2 linked regions of the Daphnia pulex genome follow. The protein of the gene in region 1 interacts with the protein of each later gene in a biochemical or structural test. Links are inferred from orthologs where the notes say so. Each region holds a gene or a part of one and is shown on either strand. Other genes may lie near its edges.

Region 1 (4,294 bases):
GAGAGAGAAAAAGAGAGAGAGAGAACGCGAACTGCTAATCCAAGCAGTAACAACGCAATCCAGTCAAGACGACTATTCTGTGGATATTTTTTTTCTTTTTTTGGGGGTAGGGGGAGAAGGGGGTTAATTTCGCTCTCTGCGCACTAACAATGATATAGATGGGAAGGAAAAATAATTCCGACGACGTACTCAACACTCAACACGGATGAAAAAAAATAAAAGGAAGAGAAAAGAAGTAGATGAGAGAAGTACAAGCTTTTGAATATTAAACTAAACAGAATTTTGATCCTGGATGAAAGAAACTTAACAGACAGAGCTACTTTTCCCATTAGCAGGATTCATCCACTCTCTCGCACCGCTCAGCAGATGCAACAACGACATCGACCTAAGTATAAGACAGACTAACAAAGATCTTTCTTCTTTTTTTTTCTTCTTTCGGACGAGTAGTAAGTGATGGGTTAATCATGAAGAGGAGAAATAGAATTGGAGACGAGTTTCTTCATCTTCCAACGAAAATGAATCGTCCGTTTCTTCAGCAACGCGTTTCGTAGAGGCCGCTGCGTCCGATGTAGCGAACCCATTTGATGACGTCGTGATCAGAATAGTTCAACTTGGGTTCAAAGACTTTCAAATATCGAACTTTAAAGCCCGATGGTGCAAACGGAACCTATGATAGAAATCCAAATTAGAGCAATCGATATGCACGACACACATCATCCTCGAAAATACCTCAAAGTTCATGGAAATGGGGGGTCGAGTCCACTTCTTTTTCGTGTCCGTTTGCAAAAGCTCAATTTCAGCTGAAAGTTGTGATTCCTTCATACCTCCCATCCGTTTGATCCTGTCAACATCAACACCACACAAGTTTAACAACACAGCTCTAATGTTTGATCTAAAGAAAAGTTTGCAACTGACTTCCAAACGATGGCGTTCTCAGAAGCTTTGTACTTGGCTTTGCCTTTCATGCACAAAAGTTGAACGCCCGATGTATTGAGAGGCGTTGGAATGCGTATCTCGATTTTCTGTGCCAGGAGCGAAGGTTTGAAGTTAGACTTGACAACCACTTTGACTTCCATCTTTGTCCGGCCCACTTCGCGCACCAACGGTATAACTCGGAAAGGTAACGAAATGTCCTTGGTCGTTCGGTACCTGCAATCGAAAATAACACTTGTTAGCATAAATTCAATGTATATACCAAAGGAGAACAGACTAACCTCATGAGTTCAAACTCTCCGTCAGGGGGAATAAAGCTAATCGAATGCTCCGTTTCGAATTTAGACAACTTGACACACTGGTGAAATTGACAGTCGTCAATCACAATAGCTGTCTTGCCAGTGCGAGCAGCGGATTCATCCGCAGTAGGTTTACCCTTAGCCTCCATGATAATCTTATCGTTGATTCCAAACTTGCATTCGGGCATGCCTGACAAGTAGGATTTCATCACTACTTTGCCAGCCACGTGAGCTGAAAGTACTTGACCCTGCGGCGACATTAGAAGGTTGACGTATTCCAATACGTCAAGGAAGAGTTCGTTTCGCCGGTACTTGATGCCTTCGCGTCGCCAGCCGATTTGGCCTGTCACCTGGAAATCATAACCACATGATTATATTTTAAAAACAATCATTGAGCATTAATTGTTTGAGCGAATCTATACCTGAGAGGTAATCTGGGCCTGCTCTTCTTTGGTTTGCGTGCGAATACCTTGCTGAGTAATAAACGTCTTCAACACTCCCGTGTCGGTATTTTGGGGATAGCCAAAATCAAGAATCTCTGATAGAATGAATAAATTGGATAAGGAACAACACACAAACAAATAAATTGTGTTTGCTTCCCAACATACCATCCAAAAGTTCGTAAATGAGGACAAAATTGTTCTTGATGTTTTCCTCTGATACCTTACCAAAGTATGACTGCATGCAGTCAGTGACCTTCAAGAGAAACTCGAAAACCATAGAGGCATTGACATTTTGTTTGGTGACAGCTGCCACCCAAATATTAGCACGCTAAAAAAAGGTAAAGGATTATTGATCCTGAGAACATTAAAACATTTCAAAATGGCAAATCAGAAAATACCTTAACATGGAAGAAGGAGGTTCTGGCAATGTTTGTAACAGGTGATCTGACTTGCTGCCTAGCATGGATGACATTTACTCGGAAAGCATCAACTGCATTTCTGCCAATGTCATCACGGTACACACGTGATATTAGGACCTCTCCTTTGTGATTGTAGATGAAAAGGCCTCCAATCATCTTGACTCTTGAAGCTTTGTGATAAACCTATGAATGAAGAAAATAACACTTTTTTTTCAAACGTGCAGAATGACATTTAGCATGTATACAAGTCCATAAGAACTCTTTGGTAGATGGTTTGCTCTGTGAACTAGAGTATGCAAATGAAGCTATGCAACTTTTTGTTGAAATGTTGAATTATCTTTTTGCCATGCATGCACGAGTTCTTTTGATTGCCTTCACAGGATATCCCGTCTCAATACCGGTAGACTAGCTGATATATCGAGCAACGCCTACCAATAAACTTTCGCATTACCCAACACACAACCACCGTTCCTGAAGATCACGGTCTTGTGTCGCTTTAAACATCATAATTCAAAACCACACCAACGAAAAAAACATAACCTCTTACCTCAAAGTAACTGTTACCAGCCCAATTTCTCCCACTGTGGATAAGTATTCAATTTGGTTTGATAGCAGACTTGTACTGTCAGAGTGAAATGACAGTAACACAGTGCTAACAAGAAAGAAAGTCAATCCATATCACAGGCCAAACAGCTGAAGTCCGTAAAGCGCTCGGAGCGCCACATTTGAAATACTCGGGTGGAAGTAGAACTTTCAAGGTTAAAATCATTTTCAAGAATTCGACTGATTCAAGCATTTTTTAAAAATATACCATTAAAAATAATACGAAATACGTTTGATTCAATGGATTTTTATGTATATTTAAATTATTATTACAATGTCAATTTATTACACTGAAAACGAAAATTCTTCGTTCCGAAAATGTTATATGCGGTTATATGGCATTTTTGTCCTAAATGCCTTTTGTTACACCGAGCATTACATTTTGTATGAATGATCTATATATATATATTTGTTCACTGACGATCTATGTGTCATACGAAATGAGAATTACTGTAATGAAGGTGAATAACCAAAGCAAAATACGTAGAGAGAAATGACGAAGAAACATATCGTGAACCATAAACAAACTATAGACAGAAAAGTACAATGAGTCAAATTACAGTTGAATGAGGCAAACATAACACGTATCGATTTCTGGTGGAGAACAACACAAAAATGGGGGATTGAACTTTTCCCACATTAATTTCCGTTTTGTGGATTGCTATTACCGCCCTCAGAGGAGGATGCACCACGCATAGCATCAATCTTGGCGCAAATCTTCAATGCCGGCCCAAGTTTCATCGACATGGCAGACATCAAATGATCGGCTTTCAATAACATGAGCGCTTGGCCATCAATTTCCTGCAATGCGAAATCTTCGGCATAATCTGCACATCCAGTTAAACTTCGCACGAAATCCGCGACCTCGGTAACCTGAATGAATAGAAGTCTTAATTATCAGTGCAATCTAAGTCGTAACAATAAATAACTTACACTCCACTTGGCTGGATTAGTTTTCGGCTCAGGTTTGAGCTGGTGAGTTGGTGTTTGAGATAGTGAGGCTGTGGGAGAACGCAATTGCTGAGCAGCCAGAGCACACAACTCTGCATCCAAGCTGATATCTTCTTTATCTCCAGAGGGAGCAAAGCTCGTTGGAGGAGTTGGGCCCTGAGGAATTGTCACGGCCGTTGGAGAAGCCAATTTGTTGTTGGCTTCGGCTGTTGTTGAAGCAGCAGCGGGTGAGTGAGTGGTTGACGTCGCAGTGGTCAGTAGCCCACCACCACCGCCAACGGCTGCTTTTACTCCCTGACCGTTGACACAAGTCGTTGTCGAGACAGTTTCCTGCTGCTGCTGCTGCTGTTGATTCGGCTGAACGGGTCCAACTGCTGGCGAAGCATTTATGTTAGACCTATTTCAAAAGTAAACAAACACGGTTAAAATTAAAAGAGTCAAAAGATAAATGGGTTAATGACATACTTTTTCGAGCAGGCTGTGGAACAAAAGCGTTTTGAACGACGAAATTTGGAAATGAAATCCATTTTTCCACATCCCTCGCATGTGGCCATGGTAGCTCCTTTAGGCGTCGACATCTGCTGAAGATCGTTAGTTGTTGTGGTGGTAGGCGGCGCAGGCGGGGGTGCCAGAGGTGGAGATTGAT
Region 2 (4,063 bases), on another chromosome or scaffold:
ACTCTTTGACTGGTGCTAGTTCTATACTAAAAGATTCAGTTGCTGCAACCATCAGCGACAAGGAAATCGTCGACAGTCAGCCTATTAACGTCAAACAATCTGCTTCCACTGCCAGTGCAGGCGCGACTTTCAAGTCGACTCTTAGGGATTGCAATGCAGTTTCAGGGGCTTGTTCAAATGTAGTAGTAGCCCATGACTCGCAAGCCGCCAATCACGTTCCAATTTCTGGCTCAAGTAAAGACCCCCAGCTTTTGCGTTCAAGCGCTTCTTCAGCAGCGTTCCAGCACGATTTGAATAAATGTGAATTTCACTGTGGATCACTACACGACAGAGGCCGCTCCATCCAAAGTGCCGAATGTCATCGTCATCGAATTCATTCCATGAGTAAAATTTTGAAGTCTACTCACGTTCATTTCTGTGACGACGGTACGAATGTGATTCATGATGGAGTGGAGAGCCGTTCTAGTCTCGCCGCGTCCAGATCCCAGCATCAGCACCAGGAGAACGCATCAGGATCGGAGATGGAGCAAGACAGCAGCAACACCATGGAAGACGATTTTGAAAACGAGAATAGCGTGACGACGGAGAAGTTGCTTCTTCTGACGGATCAGCTGTGCAATGAAAAACACAAGCACTTGACCATTTTCGATCTTGGGGTCATACTTGAGAGACTGAAAACCAAAATAATCGATGTTCACCGATTGGAGCGCGAGCGTGAGGATCTGCGGTGTTTTCGTTGGACTATCAACGCCACAATACGAGGTGAAATTCTGCGGGATCTCGGAGTTTTGTACAACGGGAATTATTATTCCATTTCTGAGAGCCCTTTATTATCTGATCCTCTGAGTGGTTTTCGGGATGACGAAGAAGAACGTCAAGATTCATTGTGAACATGTTCAAACTTGTTATACTTTTCGCCAGCGTAGATGAAATTTCCAGTGGGTGCCACTACATATATTCCTCGTTTTCAAATAAGGTGTTCATCTCTCTTGATTGTTTTTCTTTGATTGAAAATTTGCACATTCTGCTCTTTAAAACACTGTTTTAGAATTATGTAGGAGCTAATCAGAAAATACAGTTTATGTTAGTGAGTTCAAATAAATTTGTAAATTATCTCATATTGCTGGAAATAAAATCCCTTATCTCGAATTCAAAAAATTTCTTAATTAAAACTTATTTTTAAATAAATAATAACAATAAAAACAAAATTGTATGAAAATAAAGGACAAAGTGAGATGGATTCATGCCACCTGGCAACGTGGCATCATATTTTGCAACTTCTCTTGCTTTTATTTATTTACTCCAGTTTCTGACTAGATTCTAGAAGAAAGAATTTTACGCAATTTGTTTACATTGACTTCATTAGACAGCTATACCTTGTTCTAAAACTGCTGTAGAAATTTCTATTTCTACGCAATTTTTTGAATGTAGGATTCTGGGATTCTGTTAACAATTTGTAAACATCAAGATGAAAAATTCAGCAGGAAAACACAGTCAGTTTCTTGAAGGAGAAGAAGATAACAGCAATGAAACTGTGTTGATTCATGTGGTTCCTGAAAATAAATGTAGGTGATTTTGATAATTTTTTTCTAAACAAGTAATTCATCTTTTTAATTATTTTAGCAAGGTGGAATCATATAGAAGACCTGGATTCATTTTTTTCACGTGTTTACTTTTATCATCAGCAACATGGATTTCTCTGCATGATGTTGCAGGAGTGTTTTGAACTTTTACAGTTTGCATTCATAGTGGGGTTTTCTTCGTTTTTGCTGCAATGTGTGAACTACAAAATTTTATTCAGGTAATTACTGAATTTTTGTATAGTTAAACATTGTTATTATTTATTTGCTATCTGCAAAAGATGAAATACCTTTTGAAAACTAGTACAAATTTGAGAGGAGTGTTGACATTTTCAGCACTTTTGAATTGAATATAAAATTTCAACAGTAATGGTTGTTTTCAAGATTCAATAGGAAGTGCCTTATTTGGTTTTCACATGCATAGCTCTTTTATTTAAAACAATATTGTTTTTTTTCTAAATGGTAGTGAGTATAGTTTATTTCATATTATGAATTTTAACGGTTACATTGTAACTCCCTAGGGATGAATTTACAGTCAACAGCACATCAAAAATAACTGTGAGTTTTTATTGTTTTACATAATTAAAGCTTAGAGGGATAATATTTTTCAAATATTTCTTTAGTTATCAGATGTGGTTGAAAGCCCAGGGGAATGTGTGTCTTCTTTCAGTCTAACAATGTGGATTTGTATTTTTATTGCATTGTTCTGCTGGATATTACGACTTATTGGTGTTATCTACCATTTTTTTCAATATTCTGAAATTCGTTGTTTTTATCAATCAGCTCTACAAATTGGTATTTAATTGTCCTCCTAATGCTTTACTAGCAACAACATTTATAGAATTTCATAATTTCAGGTGACCAAGATCTCGAAAACTTAACTTGGCACGAAGTTCAACAGAGAGTAAGAAAGGCTCAGCAGGAGTACCAGATGTGTATTCATAAAGCCGAGCTAACGGAACTTGATATTTATCATCGAATATTAAGGTAAACACAGTAATACTGTTTTTTTAAAAATGTGTAGTTTCCATATATTTGTATTTATACTCATTTTTTAAATTCAGGTTTAAGAATTACTTTGTCGCAATGGTCAACAAGTCCATCCTCCCACTAAAGTTTAAGGCGCCACTTGTTGGAGAAACATTATTTCTTAGTCGAGGACTGAAGTATAATATCGAATTTCTTCTATTCTGGGGTCCTTGGGCTCCTTTTGACAACAGTTGGCATTTGCGTGAAGAGTACAAAAGTGTTAACCAGCGAAGAGAGTTGGCCAAAGATTTATCAAAAGTAATTGGATATATCGGTAATTGTTTTGTTTCACTTTTTTGTCGAGGCATTCAAGCTAAAATGTCGTTACTAAATGCATGCTGTTTACAAATTTAACTACAGGCATCCTTAATTTCGTGTTGGCTCCGTTGGTATTGCTATGGCAACTACTCTATGCTTTCTTCAATTACGCCGAAGTTGTGAAAAGAGAGCCCGGAAGCCTTGGCGCTCGCAGGTGGTCACTTTATGGGAGATTATATTTGCGGCATTTCAATGAACTAGATCACGAGTTACAAGTACGATTTTTTGGCAAAAATTTTGTAAATATTATGTTAAATGGAATTTTTACTTAGGCCCGTCTAAGTAGAGCTTATCGACCGGCTACTCATTACCTTTCTGGCTTTTCTTCTAACTTGGTAGCTATCTTTGCGCGGAATTTCGCTTTCTTGGCGGGTGCCATTTTGGCAGTTTTAGTTCTGCTGACTGTTTACGATGAAGACGTTATTACGGTGGAGCATGTGCTCACCATAATGACCGTTCTTGGTGCCGTTGTTGCGGGTAAGTTGGTATCTTAATTTTAAATTTTCGTTTATTCATTCACAATTAAATTCAACTTTATTTTTCATAAAATGAAGTTAAAACACAACTTAGAACCAGTTGTTCATTTATTATTTTAAGAAGTAAAAACAAAAAACTTGCCACCCTTCTAACTTTCTATACTTGAAAATCGGTTCAGGCTGTCGAGTTTTGATTCCCGAAGAAAATATTGTATGGTGTCCTGAAAGCCTTATGGAGACTATTTTAACCCAAGTTCACTACTTACCCGCTGAATGGAAAGATAAGGCCCATACACACGAGGTAATGATATTCTAATTATTAGATTCTTGAGCCAGATAATTTTGTTGGTTACTTTGAAGGTACGCTTAGGTCTATCGAGATTGTTCCAATACAAAGCTGTGTATCTTCTTGAGGAGCTCATATCTCCCATAGTTACACCATTCATTCTATATTTTGGGCTTCGACCTAAAGCCCAGGAGATAGTCGACTTTTTGCGACAATTTACGGTAGAGGTTGTTGGGGTCGGCGATGTTTGTTCATTTGCTCAATTGGATCTACACAAGCATGGACAGGCAAAGTGGCATGCTGGTTTAAGTCAGACATCGGATGAAAGAAGAAATTCATTTCAAGAATCTCTGCCAGTTGTTGAAAATGATATA

Evidence for each region. The genes of interacting proteins can lie anywhere in the genome.
Region 2: the proteins of AP-2 complex subunit mu (region 1) and autophagy-related protein 9A-like interact in a biophysical measurement, tested with the Homo sapiens proteins (4 studies listed by BioGRID and IntAct, with this or other methods). The link is inferred for Daphnia pulex from reciprocal best matches to the Homo sapiens genes AP2M1 and ATG9A.

Annotation. Positions count from the first base shown.
Region 1 is NC_060028.1:9,468,591-9,472,884, forward strand, and holds the start of AP-2 complex subunit mu, read right to left. Parts: upstream 2,801-4,294; 5' UTR 2,642-2,800; intron 2,278-2,641; 5' UTR 2,251-2,277; coding exon 2,074-2,250; intron 2,004-2,073; coding exon 1,841-2,003; intron 1,771-1,840; coding exon 1,655-1,770; intron 1,583-1,654; coding exon 1,215-1,582; intron 1,150-1,214; coding exon 916-1,149; intron 842-915; coding exon 730-841; intron 668-729; coding exon 533-667; 3' UTR 1-532. Other genes in the region: polyhomeotic-proximal chromatin protein-like, read right to left, coding at 3,337-3,570, 3,631-4,045, 4,114-4,294.
Region 2 is NC_060017.1:4,163,949-4,168,011, reverse strand, and holds the start of autophagy-related protein 9A-like, read left to right. Parts: upstream 1-1,263; 5' UTR 1,264-1,468; coding exon 1,469-1,565; intron 1,566-1,623; coding exon 1,624-1,801; intron 1,802-2,101; coding exon 2,102-2,138; intron 2,139-2,203; coding exon 2,204-2,375; intron 2,376-2,437; coding exon 2,438-2,567; intron 2,568-2,644; coding exon 2,645-2,883; intron 2,884-2,969; coding exon 2,970-3,142; intron 3,143-3,199; coding exon 3,200-3,404; intron 3,405-3,582; coding exon 3,583-3,704; intron 3,705-3,763; coding exon 3,764-4,063. Other genes in the region: uncharacterized protein LOC124194405, read left to right, coding at 1-890. UniProt on the Homo sapiens protein: Phospholipid scramblase involved in autophagy by mediating autophagosomal membrane expansion. Cycles between the preautophagosomal structure/phagophore assembly site (PAS) and the cytoplasmic vesicle pool and supplies membrane for the growing autophagosome.